Coturnix japonica: one gene and its partner. The protein of the gene in region 1 purifies or fractionates together with the protein of each later gene. This does not show direct contact. Links are inferred from orthologs where the notes say so. Each region holds a gene or a part of one and is shown in the gene's direction. Other genes may lie near its edges.

Region 1 (9,929 bases):
TCTTGGAAGGATGCTGGTAGCTCCTTCCCCTCCTCAAGAGCTGCCTTTCCAAACGCTTCTCTGGGTTTATGTCTGGTGTGTCCTTTGCCAGAGTCCTTCATAGATGGAGTCTTTGCCTTCAGCTGCCCCTGGTAGATGGCAGAGAAGTTTGGTCAGGGCAGACTCAGTGAGAAGAGTTGCACCACACCAACGGCCCCACAATCCTGCCTCATATGTGGCCATTACACCAGCCTGGCCCACCTCCTGTCTTTCCCCTTGGTCCCATTTAAGAGCCCCTCTTTTGACATAACCATGGGTGCAGTCCAGAGAATCCCACGCTTTTCTCCACCTTTTTCTGTGCCTCCTCAGCCATCTTCTGCCGAGCCTTTCTCAGGATCCTGGACTGACCACTCCTAGGGGCCAGGGAATGGGCTTGCTGCTCTTTCAGGGCCTGTAGCTCTGGGGACAGCTTGGTGGTGAAGGGGTTTGAAATCCCATGCTCTTCTGTGTCATCAATCACTGAGAAGGCAGGAGCAGAATTTCAGCAGATCTTTCTTGAGACACAGGGAGAGCAACCAGCTCCGCAATGCCAGGAGAATCCTGAGGGACCCAGAGCAACCCCAGGGGCAGGAGCTAGGGGTTAGTGGTCAGTGCAAACTATGAGGAAGGAGGCAAAGACCAGGGTAGGAAAAAAAAGAATGGTAGGGTGGTATTCCCAGTCTCCAGGCAATAAGAAGGGGAAATGATCTGGTACGCACCAGTCACCCGTCCAGCAACAAAGGGGTGGGAGAGCAGCTCTGGCCATGACAAGCGCTGGCGAGGGTCCTTCATTAGCAGCCCCTGCAGGAAGCTCTACAAGGCAGCACAGTGCCAAGGACAGACACCACACATGCAAAAAACAAACAAACAAAAATGAATACAGTGCTCCCACTAGTCTCCCACAGAAAGAGCACTCAGGACTCCTGGGTTCTTTGGCTCACCCTGAGAAACACTTGGACTGGTGCTAAGACAAGGCTTTGCTCCTTACCTTGAAGGTTGGGCTTATGGCCTTAGGCCACTTGACAGGGTCCTTGACAATGAGGCTGACAAGCTGGAAGATGCTGCTTGTGTAGAAGGGAGGTTTGCCTGTGAACAGCTCATACAGGATGCAGCCCACAGACCACAGGTCTGCTGTGTGGTCATACGGCCGCTCCTCCACCAGCTCAGGGGACATGTACAGTGGAGTGCCCTTGATGGAAGTCAGCACCATGGTGTGGATGCTCATGGCACGTGCAAACCTGCTCAGAGCAAAACACAGGTGGACATTTCAGGCTAGAGCAGCCACTGCAGCTCCCAAGGAGACCCCGCGAGTCATCAATATCCTGTCCCTTCTGGAGCCCCAAATTCCCTACCCCTGCTAACCCCTGAATATGTGCAGAATGCAAGTCCCCTTCCACACCTCCCCTTCTCGTCTACAGCTCCAGGACACCCCTTGGAAGCCCCAAGCCTACACACCCATCTTAGCTGGTCACCCATACGCACCCAAAGTCACAGAGCTTGATGACACCATCTTTGCCCAGCAGGATGTTCTGGGGTTTCATGTCACGGTGCAAGATGCGGTGGGAGTGTAGGTAATAGAGAGCAGAGACCAGCTGGGCAGCTATGATCTGCACCTGCCAGAGACACAGGAGCTTCATTCCAGTACCCCAACTCTTGCCCTTGCCTTGTCTGGGGCAGGGACCAGCCCCAGCCTTGAGCCAGCAGCCCCTCCCTGGCAGAGGAGTGAGCCAAAGGCTGAGGCAGCAGCCATGTGTTGTGGCTCTTACAGAAGGAACAGGGAGGTCGAGGTCTATGGGACCACTATAACACACTGCCTGCAATCCGGCTGCCTTTTCATCCCCTTCAAAAACTCTGCCAGCCAAAGCTTCAAAGACACCTTCACCCCCTTGACGTATCCACTCTAACAGCAGAACCCTCTGCCTGCTGAAAAACCCTGTTCGCTCCATCCTGCAGTAAAGCCTATATGGCCAGTCACCTGGTCCTCGGGCAAACTGCCATCATCCTCCAGGATCTGGAATAGCTCTCCCTCTGCGTAGTCAGTCACCATCACCACCTGGAAGAAGGAGCAGCGTGAAGGCATTAAGCACACCCCCAGACACATCCCTGCTGAACCTTTAAGCTCTACTTATCCAGAGCACTGTAAGGTGGAATGATACAAAGATGGTAACGGAGATTCAAAAGGTTATTTATGAAGAAAAACGTCACCAATATGTATGGCTCCACTGGGAAATGCTGAGGCAATCTCCACCAGGGAGCAATCTCTAAGAGACGCTGCCTTAGTGGTGGTCAGCCCTTAAATGAGGTCTAGAGGAGGTGGAGTCAAGCTTCACCCCTTCTGGGAGCACAGCTAAATTACTCTCAACTGTGCTCCCACACCTGACCCGACACTTGGCTCAGCTGATTAATCAGAGGTTCAGGCTGTGATTACCAATGTCCCATATAAACACGCAGCAGAAGTCAGGGAAGTGTAAAGGAACAGGATAAGCATATAATGGTATTTCTGAGCCCAGTGGTAGAATCACTCCCTTGAGCATATTTTTTATCTACTGCCCAATTACTGGAGGGCTCAGACAAATATCAATCATTAGGCCGGGTCACAATCCTAAGTCTATTCCCTCATAAGGTCTCTCCGTGTCCATAGAGCAGGAGTTCCCAATTAAACCACCTGAGGGAGTAGAATACCTGGTGGCAGGTCTGCAGCACTCAACAAGAGTGGAGATACAGCTGGGCACTGAAAAAACCTGGTTAGATAGAAATGCTGCTAGAGCCCTGGAATATTGTCACCAGCATCTCCTGAGGCAGAGGTGACAGCAGATGACAGCCCACGCCCCCACCCCACCAAGCAAAAGTACCTGCCCTGCACGGGTCCCATTACCTCTTTATCAGTCTCAAAGCTGTCGAGCATCTGGATGATGTTAGGATGACGGAGACCTCTCATAATCTCAATTTCCCGCTGCAGATTCTTCAGCTCCTTCTCAGACCGCCCCACCTTGGGGATGAATTTCAGAGCCACCACCTTCCAAAGCAAAGCTGGGATCAGAGCAGTGTCCTGCCCGCGTTGGCAGGGGCTGCATTTAACCCAAGCGGGACTCATTATTTTCTAGGTGAACACACAGAACAAGACACGTTCATAGGGCCGGAGCAAGGAGTATAAGTACTCAGTACTCAGTACCTGAGCTGTGTGAGCAGGACTACAGGCTGTCTTCTAAAGGAAGAGATTATTGCCCTTTTCTTATTACTTTTAGGCTACAGTGGCCATTTTTTGGTCCAGAAGTGCACTGACAAACAGGAGCGGTCCTAGCTGGGGCACCAGGGTAGCAAGGTGGCTGATAACAGGGCATACAAGCTGAAACTGGGGGGGCTGAGCTTTATTAACCCGGTGTCTGGCAGGAGGCTTCTAAGATAGAGCCGGGCTCTTTATAGAGACCCATCTCTCTCCTCACCTGGGCGCTGCACCTCCGCCGCCCCTTGTACACCCGTCCGAAGGAGCCTTCTCCGATCACCTCCAGCACATGGTACCTCTCCATGGCGGAGCTCCGGGGTCGGGCCGAGGTTCCTCACAACACGGACCGACGATTTAAGGCCGCAGTATAACGCTGTTACAGGCCGTGGGGCCGCAGTACAACGCGGTTACAGGCCGCGCCGCCACATCGCCTAGCAACAGCTGAGGCCTTCCGCATCCGGGTCGGCCGTGAAGATGGCGGCGGCCGGCGAGGAGGCGGAGGCGGCGGACTGGTAATGGATCCCCCTGTCCCTCCCTGCCTTTCCCCGGGGCTGCTGCTTGTGGCTTCCTGACCGCTCGGTGCTCCGCAGGGCGCTGCCGGCCGAGGTGGAGGTGCTGGAGTCCATCTACCTGGAGGAGCTGCGGGTGGTGCGGGGCAGCGCGAGGTACGTACCGGGCCTCGCTCCCCGGCCCTGCTCCCGGCCGCCCCTTATCTCTTATCTCTGCCCGCCCTTAGGGCCGAGCCCTGGGAGCTGAGCATCACCCTGCACCCCGCCACGGCCCAGGACCAGGACTCCCAGTTCGTTCGCTGCACGCTGGTGCTGGCCGTGCCCCCCCAGGTAGGCTCCCATCCCGACCGGGCCCCTTGCTGCCCCTTATCTCTGCTTTTCTCGGTGCGTTTGGGGTTTTGTTGCTTGGTTTTGTTTTCTAGTATCCCAACGAGGCTCCGGACATCTCCATCAGCAACCCACGGGGGCTGTCGGATGAGCAGATCCAGAAGTGAGTGGGCAACCTGGTCTAGTAAATGTGTATGTTTGGTGGCCCTGCCAGGCAGGGGGGTTGGAACTACATGATCCTTGAGGTCCCTTCCAACCCGGGTCATTCTGTGATTGTGTGTGAGTGCTAAGAGGGAGGAGAGCAGAGTGGTGGTGTTAACAGTGCTGTAGAGCCTTCTCTTTATGCCTCTAGGGTGCCCTGTCAGCTTAACACATACATACAGCTCTCCAATCACCTTGAGTTAAGCTTTATGTCAGCTTTGATGCTGAGGAATGGTTTGTTCCCTTGTGGTCCACCTGAAACGTAAACTGAAGTCTCTCAGGCCTTCAGAGATGTTGATCCAGGTCTGACAGAGACATCACTGCAACTCATTTCAGTCTTCACACAGCCTGCTGCTGCCTTTGTGCTCCCGTTGTTGGTGCAGCAGAGATCCAGATACCAGTCAATGCACGGCATTAAAGTTGCTCCCACCAGATCAACAAAACCTTAGAGCACGGGAATATGTGCTTGCATCCGCGCTCATCCTACACTGTAGGCAAAGCCTGGTGGATGGCGTTCTTTTTATTTCTCTTGTTATCATGGTGGGGTGATGACAGGCGTGTGGAAGAGTGAAAAGGTGTGGCAAAGTTTGTGTTAAGTATTTGTGCTGCTTTGCTGTAGGATTTTACAGACCCTCAGAAATGTTGCTGAAGCCAGGCTGGGGACAGAGGTGCTGTATGAGCTGATTGAGGTGAGAGCTGGGGAGAAGGGAGGCAGCCAGATACGCACACCATTCTTTGACTCCCTTTGAGGTGGGAGAGCCCTGAGTCTGGGCCCATGTGGAGGCCAGTGAGAAAAATGCTTGCTTTTCTGCTTTGACAGAAGGGGAAGGAGATTCTCACTGACAACAATATTCCTCATGGCCAGTGTGTGATCTGCCTCTATGGATTCCAGGTAGGAATACATATTCCAGCTCTTCGTGCTGGCTGAGAAGTGAGTCAGATGAAGCCCAGTGGGAGAAGCTATGTATTTCTGCCATCAATAACATCCCTGCTGACATGGGAATGAAAACCCACCTCAGCTCGGTGCTGGGAACACCCTGTGAACACCCTTTTTCCTCCACAGGAGAGAGAAGCCTTCACAAAGACCCAGTGCTACCACTACTTTCACTCACACTGCCTGGCCCGCTATGCACAGCACATGGAGGAGGAGATTCTTATGCAGCAGGAGGAGAGAGAACAGCACCTGGCACCTTCCCCCAAACAGGTATTTGGCTTTGATCCCCTGCACAGGCCCTCATGAGTTCTCTGTCACTCCCTGTGGGATGTGGAACAAAGGCCAGCCTGACTCAGCAGCCATGTGCAGCATGGTTAGCATGGTGCCTGTGTTGAGAGAATCAGTGGAGATTGGACCAAATGAGCCCCAGGAGCCCTTTCCAATCATAATTAGAAACTGGAATCCCCCTGGGCCTCCCTGCCTTAGTAGAAAAGTGCTTGTGTTTAGCTGAAGTAGGCTGCCCTGTTTGTTTCACTTCCACCCTGGGGATTCTCTCGATGTATATGGGCTGGGCTGCTGCCTAGGGTTTCACCTCTCACCTCCCTGCAGAAAGTCGGCGTGCAGTGCCCTGTCTGCCGGGAAACCTTGATTTATGACCTCTGTGCCCTGAAGGCAGCGCCACCACCACAGCACCCACTGGTAAGAGATGGGGATTCATCTGCCTGGCTGTGTCCACTCTCTGGGTAGCTAAAATGTCATCTGGGACATTTTATCCATGAACAAACAGTGTCTGCTGGAGCTGATTAATGTGCTCTGCCAGTTACTCTCGGAAAACACACAAACATACAAATTCCATCTTGTGCTCTGTTCAGAGGGGGGACCACTGCAGCCCTTCTGTGTGATAAAGGCAGAGGGAAGCAAAAGATATGTAGCTGTTGCATATGGAGGCAGTGAGGATATGTAGTGTTGTTGGCTTACTCTCCAAAGCAAGCAGATATGGTGGGAGAGAGAGGCAATTCTGCCATCAAGTACTGAGTGCTTGATTTTCTATGTTCTCTCTGCTCTAAGAGAATAACTGTAGGTTTTCTTAAATATGTCCCTGTACCCACTGAGATGTTATCAGTTTCAGGTGAGTGACTCCAGCTTGTGTGGTGAGTTCTGGGGTTCTTCGTTTTTAGCTGCTCTGCATCTTGCTCCAAAGCAGGAGGCCCTAAGTCAGGGAATAGTGGGTGTTCCCTCTCTCTGTGTAAGTACTACACGTGAATCTGTAGGCTCAGTGGGTCAGATGTTGTAAAGACCAGTTGCTTGGGTGCTGTGTGATCAAATGAGGGTTTGGGGAGTTGCTCGTGGTGTTGTTAACTGACTACCCGTATAGACAGAGCCCTTAACCCCTCTTGCTGTCTGCCACTCAGGAGCCATACAGACCAGATGCCAAGATGCTGCAGCACCAAGAAGAACTGCGCTTAATTTTCAAGAAACAGCAAGAGAAAGGGGGCATCATTGATCCTGAAGCAGAGAAGAACCGTTACTTCATCAGCCTCCAGGCGGTATGGCACTGGGGGCAGAGAGCTGCTGAGCTCCACGTCAGCAAGGATGTCCCTGGACTTAAGGGCCAAACACTGTCATCTGCTTTGGGAGTGTCCTTTCCCTTTCTTAACTGTTGGCTTCTTTCTTTCAGCCTCCAGCTACTGTTGATCCAGGCCAGGTAGCTGCTGCCTCTGAGCCACTGGTGAGTGCTAGCGATGTGGACACACCTCAGGCATCCTGCCAGACCTCAGCTCTGGAGCCAGCTAGGGCTCCAGAGAGCACGGCAGAGCCTGGGCAGCCTGAGAGATCTGCTGTGCCCAAGGAACCCCAGAGCAAGAGGGAGAGGCACAGAGGGGAGAGACCAGGCCCAAGAGGCCAAGGCAGGCAGTCCTGCAGCAACTCACAGGAAGTGGCAGGGGAAGCCTGTCATCTGTCCCATGGCTCCAGGGTGCCCAGAGGCTTTGGTCAGAGACCAGAGAGAAGACCTGCTGGGAGGCGCTGTCAGGAGTTTCCAAAACCTCACAGCAGAAGCAAGGCAGCTGCCTTGGCTGAAAGAAAGGAGCTGTGCCCTGAAGATCCCTCACCAGCAGTAGATGCAGTGGACTTGAAAGAGGAACACCATAACATGGAAAGCTGGACCCCGGAGCAAGGTGCTGAGGCCCAAAGCAGGGAGAAGGAGAACCTGGCATTCAACCACAGCAATCACAGAGCAGCTCCTGGCTGGCAAGGCCACCACAGGCCCTGGGATTGCGGGAGGTGGGAAAGGTCCAGAGCGCAGGATCGTGGCTCCTACCACAGAGCACCAAGAGGGCGAGGAGTGTTCAGGCCCAGTGGACGTCGAGAAGCCCATTTTGGGGAGAAGGAAAGCAGTTCCTAGCAGGAGGGGTATGGGGCTGGGCTGGGAAGGGGCTGTTAATAAATGAGAATGGCAAAGGTTCTGGTAGAGCGGTCACAAGGAGTCACCATACAGCTTGGGACAGAGGAAGCACTTGGCACAGCTTGGGACAGGTGGAGTCTCCATGGTTCATGTAGAATGAAGCATAGGCTGCCTGGTGTGAGCAACTGGCTGTCACCACCACAGGAGAAGCTGACTTCTGACAGCTCACAGCAGCCTTGCTCCTGAAAGATGCAGGGGGCAGAGGAGGGCTTGACCAGGGACCAGCATGCATTCATCATCTGTTTTTGTGAGCCAAGAAACATGCGTACCTACAGAAACAAGTGGAACTAGCTTGGCATGGTGCTACAGCAGAGCTGAAGCCCTGCAGGACCTTCCCTGGAACGGAGCATGCCTGCAGAGCCATGATGGCACCAGGCGGTGAGGCTGTGCCAGGGCAGCAACCTGCAGCTCAGCTTGCTGCATCCTTTGGTGCTTCTTGGAGCACATTCTGAGCTGCTGTCCCCGCTCCTTAGAGATGACTTTGTTTCCTCTGTGGTGCAGACTGCTGCTCAACTCATAGGCTTGGCCAGGCAAGTCCTTTGTATATCATGACTCCTCCCAGCCTCAGCCAGAGCTGGATTAAGTTTAAGCCAATACTGAGGCAGGTCAGGACTGTCCAGTGACTGAGACCTGGTGCTGGCTCCTGCTCCCCCTGGAAGCTTGAGTTTAGCAGGAGCTTCTGCCCTGTCCTTCAGCTGCTTTCTTGCAGTTCCTTCTGCTGCTGTTTCAGATTCAGACTATGTCCTGCTGCAGAGACATGACAGGAATCCCAAATTTCTGAAGTGGGACACTGCTATTAAATTAACTTGTTGGGTCTTCTCTGGAGCCTGTTCCTTTTGTTTTCTTTGCCCTCCAACTCCTGTTCTTAACTGGTTGGAACAAAGTGTTGGTCCTTGATATTACTCCCTTCCCTCCTATTCTGTACGTGCAGGGAAAGTCTGGATAGCAAGATGCTGGCTCCCTGCATTGTCTGGCTCACCTGGACCATACTCATTTCTTCACACTTGCTTGTGCACTTTGTCCCCTAACAAGCCCCTCTTCTCACACAGACAACTATCATCTTCCTTTTGCTCACTGTGCTTTTAACAGAGCAAACATCACCACGTTCCAATTGCCAAGCTCCATGGCATCCTTCAGTGAGTCAGATTTTTCTTTCTCATTGTTGGGAAAGCTACTGTGTCACAAGACAGCACTTAACTGACTTGAATGGGATGGTGGGATGCTCTGGGGGAAAGCAAGGCTGTGATATGCCTTCCCTGCTCTGGGTCTGAGAAACTTCAAAGCAGCAGCTGTCTCCAGCTCCCTTCTCTAAAAGTTTGTCCAGGTTGGGGATTTAGAATGAGGGAGAAATGGTGCCTGCACCATGCCCTGAGGCTTCTCACTTGTATCCCTACTCCTAAGATGGGGCTGTGCTGTTACTGACCTACCTACCTCAGGGCTGTTGTGAGGCTAAACTGGAAACAGTGCTCAGGCTGGACAGAAAGGCACTGATGGTGGCTGTAACAACACTATTAAAAGCAAGCAGAGTGACACAAGTTGCCTCCTGTGCTCTCATGGGGGTAGTGGAGGGGAGGACGTGAGTTGGTGGTGCTGGTGATGGGGCACAGAACCTGCCTGGATCAGGCCTCCCCCCCACAACTACATTTTCAGGGCTGTTTATAGAGGACTTCTGCTCTTCACACCAGTCTGGCCTGGCTGCACTACTGACCTCACCACTCCCTCCCCTGCTGCCTTTCCAGGGCCACAGATTTTGATCAGCTTTAAGAAGAAAGCATGCAGCAGCCCCAGGCTGATGGCAGCCCTGCCGCAAACAGAGGAAATAAACCAGTTGTATAGTGTAAGCAAATTCTCTTCTCAAAGGGGTTACTGAATTATCCCCCAGAGAATCAGTCTCAGGAGGACCTGAGGTGCCAGAAACCAGACTGATCCTTCAAGTCAGTCTCTCCTTCCAGCACCCCTCTATATTATATCAGGAACTGCACCTCAGAGACAAGCCAGGATCCCTTCAGAACAGATCCCTTTCCTTTTTTGGGCCAGTGCTTTAGATCTTTTGAAGCTCTGCTGGCTGATCTGACCCGAACTCTGTCTGACAATGTGAATCTGCCCCAGGGAGTGAGAACAATCTACACAATCGATGGCTCTAAAAAGATTTCCTCCTTGGACCAGCTAGTAGAAGGGGAAAGCTATGTATGTGGTTCAATAGAGCCCTTCAAGAAGCTGGAGTACATGAAGAATGTAAACCCAAACTGGTCA
Region 2 (9,786 bases), on another chromosome or scaffold:
ATGAAGACATACACAATTAACTGAAAAAAAAAAAAAAAAAAATCTAATAAAACTTCAGCTTGCAGATACCTTCCAGAAACCCATCCTTGCTCCTCCACTTCATTCTACATGCCAATAGCTGGAAAACAAAATGAACAGGAAGAATCCTGATGTCTGAATCACTATGTCTTCAGGCACAGCTGAGACTTCAGAGACTGAGATAGCTGTGAGTTTCAGTTTACATTTGTCAACATGCAGAGTAGGATTTAGCAAATTGAAGACAAAAGCAAAGTGGAATCATAAAAAAAAAAGTAATCAGATGCAATGCGAGAATAAGCAAATGGGAGAAATAATTATCAGGGAGGGAAAAAAGAATAAAGAGCAAGCCAGATCCTCTGGACTATCCTTATGGCTTTGTGCCATCACAGTAGTATAGTAGTAGGAAGAAAGCCAGCTATGGGAGAGGATAAAGGCACTGCAGAGACTCTTGCCATTCTGCATGCCTACATCAAATCAAGATGGGGGGGAATACTGGGAGAGAGGACCCACTGATGAGAGCTGCCCTCACCAGATACATTGAGCAGAAGGAAAGGAATGTGGAGAGGGACACAGAGGGGGGAAGATCCCACGGAGTTTTCTAGTGTCCCCATTGCTCCAATCTTCTGCTGATAGTGGTTCAAGTGGATGAAATGACCTGGTTCATTAGGGTTTGATTGAAAGAGACTGATGGAACAACAAAGAGTTCCATGGACAATTGAATATTTTCCATCTCTCTCTTTACTTCAAAATATTGAAGTTTTGAAAGTGAGATGCTGAGAGCTGCTGTTATATTTTCAGCTGTATCACAGTGGACATGCTTCCTGGTCTTTTCTCTGCCTCAGAAAACTCAGTCTCTTCAATTTGTGCATCCTGTACGCATGAAGTTTTATCAGTTACTACCTAAACATGCTGTATATTTCTCAGCCTAAATAGCAGTCGTAAAGTGATTTTCTGCTTAAATGTGAGTGACCAATAATTCATAAATGCAGAATAAAATTCAAAGCTGCATTTTTCTAATTCTTGTTTTGACATCTAACAATAATTGAGCATTTAATTTCCATGTTTTTAACTGAACAAAAAAAAAAAAAAAAAAAAAAAAAAAAAAAAAAAGGTGAAACTTGCCAGAGACAGGATCTCAGTACAGCTAAATAAATAAATAATAATAATAATTTTAATTGATCCTTCAATTAAACATTTTTAAATAGAAACTTGGCTCAGGTTTCTCCAACTTCACAGATTTTGATTGATGTATCTGCCCTTGTAGCAGACACTCTAAATCAAGAGGCCTTAACAGAAGTGTCCTTAGCTATAACAGCCTGATGGCGCGACTGCCTGTGCTGAAGAGCTGCACCCCAGTGTATCTCACTGAGCAAGCTGTAAGCTTCTGTAGGAGTTAAGATTCCTTTGGATATGCCCAGAGCTGTAAATAGCATCAGCTTTTAGAAACCACACAAAGCCAGACAGGGAAAACAGTTTAACACTCTAGCTTGGGGTGAAGGGTAACACTGGAGAATTGCCTCTGACTTTGGAAGGGTCAGGATTTCACCCTGTGTGACCCAAACTTAAAAAGTCTTCCAAAGGATTTTGAATCATACAAAACTGTGCAACTTTTAACATCTGAGGACCAAACACATTTCTTTGGAAGGTCAAAAGGATGAATCTGGGAGCAGTTGACTACACTGCCTTCTTCACTTCGCAGGTGGTAATTGAGTACTGTGTTCAAATTTGGGTCAGTTGCAACAAGACTTCAAGGCCACGGAGCACGTCCAGAGAAGGGCAGTGAAGTTATGAAGAGTCTGGAGCACATGCCTTATGAGGAATGGCAGAGAGACCTGGGATAGTTTAGTCTGGAGAAGAGGAGGATGAGGGGAGACTATACGGCTCTCCACCAGTACTTGAAAGAAGGCCGTGGTGAGGTGGGAGTCAGCCTTTCTCCCAGATAATAGTGATAGAATGAGAGGTAATGGCCTCAGGTTGCACCAGGGGAGGTTCAGGTTTGAGATAAAAAAAATCTTCTCAGGAAGAGTGGCAAGGTACTGGAACAAGCTGCCCAGGGAGATGGTGGAGTCATCATCCCTGAAGGCGCTCAGAAAAAGGGTAGATGTGGCAATTAGGGACATGGTTCAGTGAGCATGGTGGGAATGGGTCTTGTTTTTTTCCAGCCTTAATGATTCTATGATTCTAAGTGTCTCCTTTAAAAAAACTTCCACCTCTACAATCACAAAGTCCTGGTCATGAGACAATAAAAGCCATCTCCCTCAATTAGTTATCCTTAACTTTAGCTTTGGCCAGAGGTTACTCATCAAAAATAAAATCTGGGCCCAGATCTTAGTGATTCAAACCCTTCACTCGGTGCTGGAACCCTTCAGCACTCCCATGATTTTTTTTTGGCACTGGGAGTTTATGACCCAAATTCCGGGACACTACCTGCCCCCATCCTACCCCTGTCTGAATTAGGCTATTCACTGTCCTTCTCCCCTGTGCTTCCAGCACTCTGTTTTGGAATGCCTGGAAGAAAAAGGTGTGATGCAAATCAGTTTAGAAAAGGGAGTAAAGTGATGCCAGGAGCGTGCAATGTGGCCAGCAACCTTCCAGCATGACAAGAGGCACTGCTTGCACAAGATCTGCATTCTTTAAGTGATTTTAATGCATTGTGTTCTCTTAATTACTGAGTTATTAGTCATTGCGAGAAGTCAACACACGCCAGCAGATAGGAACCCACCTAGCTGACACTGGAAGCTCATTAGCAGCAGAAAGATATATTGTAACTGCACATGAAATAGGAAGACCTGGCTGACTGCTGTGCTTTTAAGTACAGGTGAAAACGTTGCTGGGATTATTTAAAAACGAGACAGGAAGAGACAATAAAGCAAGTTAGCTCCCAACAACTCATCAGCCAGGAGCAAGGTGGACTTTACGTGCAGAGAAAGCTGCAGGGATGGCCGCCGCTGCCGGCCATGGGACGCGGGCGCTGCTCACGTTGCCGATCAGCCCCCCACCCCCTCCTCGTTCCTACTGTGTTCCCATCCCTATCTCTGCCCGCTGGGCATCACGGGCTGCACCTCTGCCCTTGCCACGAGTCGGGAAAAGCACAAAACCCCACGATTGACGCAGGGAGAAACTTTTCCTTCTAGATGTGGAACACCAGAAGCATGGCTTTAAATTCCCTTAAGAAGGGGGAAATATTTGGGGCTGTCATTACCTCCGTACCCACTACCACGTATTTCGCTGCCTGTCGTCGTGAGCCCATGCAAGTTTATATAACAGAGCCGAGCTGCCCCCGGCTGTGATGTAAGGGACGGGGCGGCGGCACAGAGCAGCAGACGGGGGTTCGCCCCACTCGGTGCAGTGCCACCCCAAAGCAAACTCGCACCGTCCTCTGCTGCCCGCGCGGACGTGCAACGGGGGGGGGGGGGGGGAGTGGACGGACGTCACCGGGGGGGCGGCAGACTCGTGGAACAAAGAAAAGAGAGCAAAGAAAGTTCGAGCTGTGAGGTCGCCCTCTCGTCTGCGCCTCGGCCAAGAGACCCGAGAATCCTTCAGTTTACCCCCCCCGCACCCCGCCGCCTCGTCCTTCCTCCTCGCTCCTCCCGCCCCGCCCCGGGCTTCCCTTTAACGCGCGCTCCCGCCGCCAGCTCTGCCCCCTTTTCCTCCCCACACCCTCTCCGAAAGCGCGCGCACGCGCACCCGTCCCCCCGCCCCTCCCTAAGCGGCCGGGCTAATTGGCTGCCGGGCGCGCGCGCGGTGCTCGGGGAGGGGGCCTGGCGGGAGCGCGCGCGGAGGCGTCGGCGTCGGGGACGCGCGCGCGGCGACAGCGGCTTCACTTCTGTTCGGGCAGCGGGGGCAGGAGCGGCGGCGGTAGAGGCGGTGCGGGCAGCGGCTGCCGTCGCCGTTGGGCTCGGAGGGGGGAAAAAGGGCAGAAAGAAGAAAGGGAGCTCAGCGGGCGGGCGGCAGGCAGCGCGGGGCGGGCTCATGACTCAGTGAGCGGCCGCTGCCCCCCGCCAGCCCCTCGCCCGGCCGCAGCCGGGGCCGCCGCTACGGATCGTCCCGCCGTCCGCGCCCCGCAGCAGCCGGAGAGCCCCGCGCACAGGTAGCGGCCCCCCACCCCCGTGACCGACCCCCCGCGACCTCCGGCCCCTGCCTCCATCCCCGGCACCCCTCCCCCGCCCCGCCTCCGGCCCCATCCGCCCCCGGTGCCCTCTAGCAACTCTTCGCTCTCCGTTCGCAGCTCTCTCCCCACTTCCCCCTCCCCCCACATCCCACCCCCGGCCCCCACCGTCAGCACTCCCCCACCCTTTACCCCTCGGTGCCCCCTGCTGTGCCCCGACGCAGCCCTCCCGCAGTCCCCTCCGCGTCCCGGTGCGAGTCGGGCCGGGGCGCCCACCCGTGTGCCCCCTCCCGTGGCCACGGGCCCGCGGTCAGCTCTGGGTGATGAAGGTGAGGATGACGCTCTCAGCCTGCCTTCGCACTCGGGAAATCAGGACCGCAGACGGAGGCTTCCCCGCGGACTAGACTCCCCCCCCCCCCACCTCCACTCTCCCCCAGTCCCCCGCGACCCGCCTGGATCCCTTGCTTCGGCCGCAGGGTTTACGGGGGCACTCCTTGTCTACGTGTTTGTTTTCCCTTCTGAGAAGGCGGGGAGGTAGGGAAGTGCCCGGGGCTGACTGTGACCGAGGCAGCTCCTCCGGAGCTCCTCCGTTTACAATCCCCACTCTTAATCCCAGCCCTGCTGAATCATCCCGGGGAAAGCAGGCGGGCTCCCGGTCTCTGCCCTCCCGTTCCCTTTCGAGACGTGGGGCGAGAGGTCGAGACCCCCGAGCAGGACATCCCCACGCCTTTCTAACCCCGTTGGCACGCTGCTGCTCTCGGCTCCGAGCAGCGCCCAGTGCTTCCCAACCCGCTCGTGGCACCGAGATGCTTTCCCAGCGCTGTCATCCTTCTCTCGGTGTTTTTTTTCCATTCTCTTATTTGTTCATCTGTTTGTCTGCCTCCTGAGTTTGAGTTGAGAGTGTGTGACTTGGGGCCCTTTGGAAGGCGCTCGGAGCGGGGCACGGAGCATCCTTAGATTCAAAGATTCCTTTAGAGCAATCCTCTAAAATTGCGGCTATAGGGAGGAGAGAGCTGGGGAGAGCGCCCGGGGGTGTCACGGAGCGAAGGGGGGAAATCAGAAGGCAGCCAGACATCAGATGACAGATTCAAGCATTTTCCTGCTGTAAATGCTGGCATTACATGTTACAGTAATTATATGCTCAGGGCTACTGTTACAATGTTTGTCTGCTGGATAGTAACCTGAACTTAACCCAGCAATGCAGTTGGTTTGGGATAATAGTAATATTTATAGCCAAGATTATTTGCAGCAGATGTCCCGTGCATGCAGGCTTCGTTAAATAGGTTTTTAACTGTCTGGCCTGCAGTGTTAAAGCGTGTGTGTGTGTACATCAGGAAGGGAATTTTCTCTTGAAAATGAGATGTGTTAAGCAAAGTTCAGAACTAAAATCTAAAGTAAATAAAGGCCATCAAAAGTGCTATTGAGAGAGATCAGGTGGTATTTTCGCTGTATGTAGAAGCAAAGAAAACAGGTGCCTACAACCAAAATTGCACTGTCGTTATTAAATGCATATTTTGACTTGTCAGAATATGGTGCTTCTGTGCTCTATTACCTCCCAGTCTTCTATTTGTTTTATCTTTACATCTGACAAGCAGGAGATAAATACAGAGGCATTAACCCATGTAAATATGTTAACTGTGCTCAGTATCATCCTGTAGCTGTACCGCAGGGAAGGTTGTTCTGCTAAGAATGAACAATTTCTTCCTTTAATTTTAGGAGTCAAACATGCTGTTATTTCAGTTGTTTTATGCAGTGAAGTGTAAATTTGTTTTATATAAATTTATGCGAGAAAATAAGTCTCAAAACCCACCATTTTCAAAAATTGAATTTGAACGTAGCATAAACTGAACAAGGCGGAACTGATCCCATATCCATCGCTTGCTATTTCTTGTAGCATCTAAATATGTTGAACATCTCAGGCTTTCAGGGTCTCCTTTCTGTTTAGCTTCAGAAATTAAACCAAAAAACCCCCACCCTTAGTCTTCTCCCTGGAGATTATAATTGTATGATCTCCACGGTGAATAGTTTGGCTCTTAAACTGGGATGGTGTCTGTACCCAAGTAAAAGGGAAAGCAAGTGGAAGTTCACAGCAATTTAAAACTCTGCAGCAGATTCTGGATTTGGTCAGATTCAATCAGAAAAGTCGCTCCGATTTGTGGGATTGTGTGGATGTGAGTGAGGGATGTTGAGGCCTGTGTACCTTGAATGTGGCTCCTTTGCTCTAGAGGAGGGCAGATAACGTGCCCATATCAGCCCCATATTTGGCCCTTAGATATATTGAGGGTTTAGTTTGTTGGTTTGGGGGTTGTTTTGTTTTTTTTTCCAGTTTTCCAGCAGTCATTGCTACCACGTATGCCAATTTATAGACAGTTTTACATGGATGTCTGCTCTTCATTAGAATGCTTTAAGAAGTCCTAACAGCTGTAACTCCTCGTCTGCCATAGTGTTATACTACTTAAAATGAAGGAAACAGTGAAAATAGCTAACTGGTATCAGAAGTGTGTGTGTAAACTGTGACCTCGACTTCTGGAAGCATGTTGGGGTTTCCTGTAGCTTGTGTTCCCTGACAGCTTTGGTGCCTCATGGCAGAGGATACTTTGTATCCCCTCCCAGGATACTTACTGCTCTAGAAGCATTGCATTTAGTAAACACAAACAGTTCTGTGTTAGTGCCTTTTGGTTCTGCAAGCGTTTCCATCCAGTGTGCCAAGATGTGGAGTTTGTAATGTGGAAACCCATGTTAGAGACTTGGAATGAACTCACAGGTTTATTTCATATGGGATAGCAGAGTCTTCAGATAGCAGTAGCTCTGGGTTTTTAACAAACGATGTGAAATGTGAGCTGGTGGCAGAGTGATGAGAAAGCTAACTTATGATATGACCAAGGGGTGGGAAAATCTCTTTTATGGCACTGGTGTAGTACTCACACAATCGTGTTTTGTGCTTAACTGCAGTAACTTGTCATTATCATAAATAACAAATCTGTCCTCTCTTCATATATATTTGTTATGGAATTTGAAACGACCAACTCCTGAATTATTGTTAAGATGTTTATGGCAAAACTCTTCAGTACTAAGATGACTGAAGTGCTGTAATGCAAGTGTTTCAGTATAGAGACACGGATCTTGTGTGTTATTTCCTCCTGCAAGAAATACTGTCTGACATCTTCTTCTGGGAAAGCTGACCTTCGTTGTTTGTGTTTGGTTCAGTGCAGCATCTGCCATGTCTACAGAGGGGCAGAGAGTTGATGACAGTCCGAGCACTAGTGGAGGCAGCTCTGATGGAGATCAGCGTGAAGGCGTTCAGCCTGAACAAGAAAGGGAGCAAGTTCAACCCAAGAAAAAAGAGGGCAAAATATCAAGCAAAACAGCTGCTAAACTGTCAACTAGTGCTAAAAGGTACAGTGTTCTTCTGTCTTTTTCTCTTCCTTTCTTGTTTTTCAGCTGGCCATCAGATGTTATGTAATGGTTCGGTATATTCATTTTCTTACTGTTTTATTGTAGCACTACTGTGTCAGTGTAATAGTCTTCTGAGGCTGGTCACGATAACGAGACCTGTATATTTTTTTTCCTTTCTTTGACAAATTGGCTCTTTCACATGGTTTTAATAGTAGCCTGCATGATAAAAGCTGACATTTTTTTATTGCTAGTAAAACTCAGACAGTTTTGTAGCCTTATAAAATACATCTCTGTATGTGTATGTATGACTGATGTTGAAACTTGTCAGTGTAACTTACAGTTAATTAACCATAAACATTTCAGACAGTTCAGTAACTCAGCATGTTAGGACTACCGTAATACCTATTGCTGTAAAGAACTGCATTCCCTTTTCCCAGATGGTCAGGTCAGAGACATTGAAGTGAACAACAAATGCATGTTGGTTTCATTACTTTAAACTGTGGTCTGTTTTAATACCTATTTCTTTAGCATCTCTTTACTTCTTGAGAGGAAAAGTGGATTTGTAGAACAGCTACTGAAATTATTCTCATGGAATTGTTTCTGTTGGATGGAATTCTTAAGGGTTATCTCGTCTAACTTCTCAGCCATGAACATGGACACCTACAGATAGATCAGAGTGCTCAAAGCCCTGTCCAGCCTGACACTGAACATTTCCAAGACATCTATATGGTCGTGTTCATTTCCAGATAATGACTGTCACGTTTGGTCCAGACCTGGGGAACTTAGTGCTTAGTGTTGCTCCATCAGTACTTACTGGTGTTAGTCCATATAGTAGAGCTCAGATGGGATAACAGTGGTTGTAGTTAAACACTTTTAGCAGAATCTGATGAGATCAACTGTGCAGACTGTCCCAGATTCTGTTTTTCACTAATTCAAGTCAGTGTGAACTGCAAGAAAAAACATTGGAGATGTGCTGCTGTGCGGGGAAAAAAAGAATTGCACATGGAGCCTTGCAAAAAAAAAGGAGAGACCCTTTTGCTGTGATTTATAAAATTCTCCTACGTGCCTACATCTCATCGAGGTTCCAGCCTATGTCTTGGTTTCTTCTGTCCTTTACTATCTGTGTGCTTCTCTGTCCTGGACTCACTTGTCTTTCCAGTGTGTTATTAGCATGCTTCTCTCCTGCCCCAGGCACCTCCCCATGAGGCCTTTGCCTTTTCTCCTTCCACAGCAAGATGCTTTTTCAAGACCCATTCCTAATATGATGCTGTGCGTAGATGACATAGTTGTATTGGTTATAGGATAGCCAACAGAGCGTGCCAAGGTTTCTTTTCACAACTAAAAGAAAAAGAAGTAATAAAAAAAGAAACAAAACCAAAAGCTTTCTCTTCAAGCCATAGTGCTACTCATTTAGTTAATTCCTACAGTTGTTATAGTTTCTGGACTTCTTCTCTTCTGCCTGCTTGCTGCTATTGTTTTTTAGTGTAAGAAATATTGGACTAGACAGGAATATAAAGGTCTCAAATCCAATTTTTAACATGTTAGAGAAGAGTCTGAACTTTGTACAGTGTCTAATGTGATGACTCCGTGATTCCAACAAGGGCCTGTGGACAGTATCCTATTAAAAAATTAATAATGATATGTCAGAAATTGGTCTATTAATCTTAGCTTTGCATCTTCAAAGCTTAGGGCTTTTATCAACATGCATTTCACAGTGATAAAATTACTTAAACCTTTTAAAGTTTAATCATATCTGCTTATGATTCTGCTGAAACTAATTATGCCAGTTGCTGACATCAGTACATTTGCTGGTTAGACTCTAACGAGAGTTTCACGTTTACTAATATTGAAGAAAAGCCTTTGATTACGCATTTTAAAAGCTGAGATGATTTATAAAAGTATAAGGCTTCTGTAGATAAGCGCACAATAAATAGCACTTTTGATAAATGTATTTTCAGGAGTGCTGGTTGTCATAAAACTGGGGAAGAATCACAGTGATATAGTCTTCACATGGTTTAGTTTTTATAGTTGTGTAATCTATTCAGTGGTTTTGTCAGCGTGTTACAATGAGGACAACGTTACTGTAAACATTCTTAATCTGATCTGGTATTTGTATTTAACAGGTTTTGTTTCTTTGCTTTTTGATTAAAAGCTGTAAAACCTCACAGAAGGAAAATCAGAAATTAGAGGATGAGGAAAATATGAAATTAAAGTGGAGGAATGAAAGGAGACGAGTAACATCAAAGAAGGGAAAATATATTATC

The links. Proteins that work in one complex are often made in the same cells at the same time.
Region 2: the proteins of RNF25 (region 1) and ubiquitin-conjugating enzyme E2 E2 purify together in Homo sapiens (affinity purification with mass spectrometry; 3 studies listed by BioGRID and IntAct, counting the BioPlex papers as one, with this or other methods). This does not show direct contact. The link is inferred for Coturnix japonica from reciprocal best matches to the Homo sapiens genes RNF25 and UBE2E2.

The regions. Positions count from the first base shown.
Region 1 is NC_029522.1:24,274,706-24,284,634, reverse strand, and holds RNF25 (E3 ubiquitin-protein ligase RNF25), read left to right. Parts: upstream 1-3,660; 5' UTR 3,661-3,715; coding exon 3,716-3,753; intron 3,754-3,831; coding exon 3,832-3,906; intron 3,907-3,977; coding exon 3,978-4,080; intron 4,081-4,172; coding exon 4,173-4,240; intron 4,241-4,897; coding exon 4,898-4,967; intron 4,968-5,098; coding exon 5,099-5,170; intron 5,171-5,341; coding exon 5,342-5,482; intron 5,483-5,821; coding exon 5,822-5,911; intron 5,912-6,335; coding exon 6,336-6,341; intron 6,342-6,624; coding exon 6,625-6,759; intron 6,760-6,890; coding exon 6,891-7,616; 3' UTR 7,617-9,015; downstream 9,016-9,929. Other genes in the region: STK36 (serine/threonine-protein kinase 36), read right to left, coding at 1-128, 329-498, 738-831, 1,007-1,256, 1,501-1,631, 1,994-2,071, 2,894-3,034, 3,462-3,545. UniProt on the Homo sapiens protein: E3 ubiquitin-protein ligase that plays a key role in the RNF14-RNF25 translation quality control pathway, a pathway that takes place when a ribosome has stalled during translation, and which promotes ubiquitination and degradation of translation factors on stalled ribosomes.
Region 2 is NC_029517.1:33,811,081-33,820,866, forward strand, and holds the start of ubiquitin-conjugating enzyme E2 E2, read left to right. Parts: upstream 1-3,806; 5' UTR 3,807-4,108; intron 4,109-7,333; exon of another isoform or gene 7,334-7,338; 5' UTR 7,339-7,346; coding exon 7,347-7,522; intron 7,523-9,786.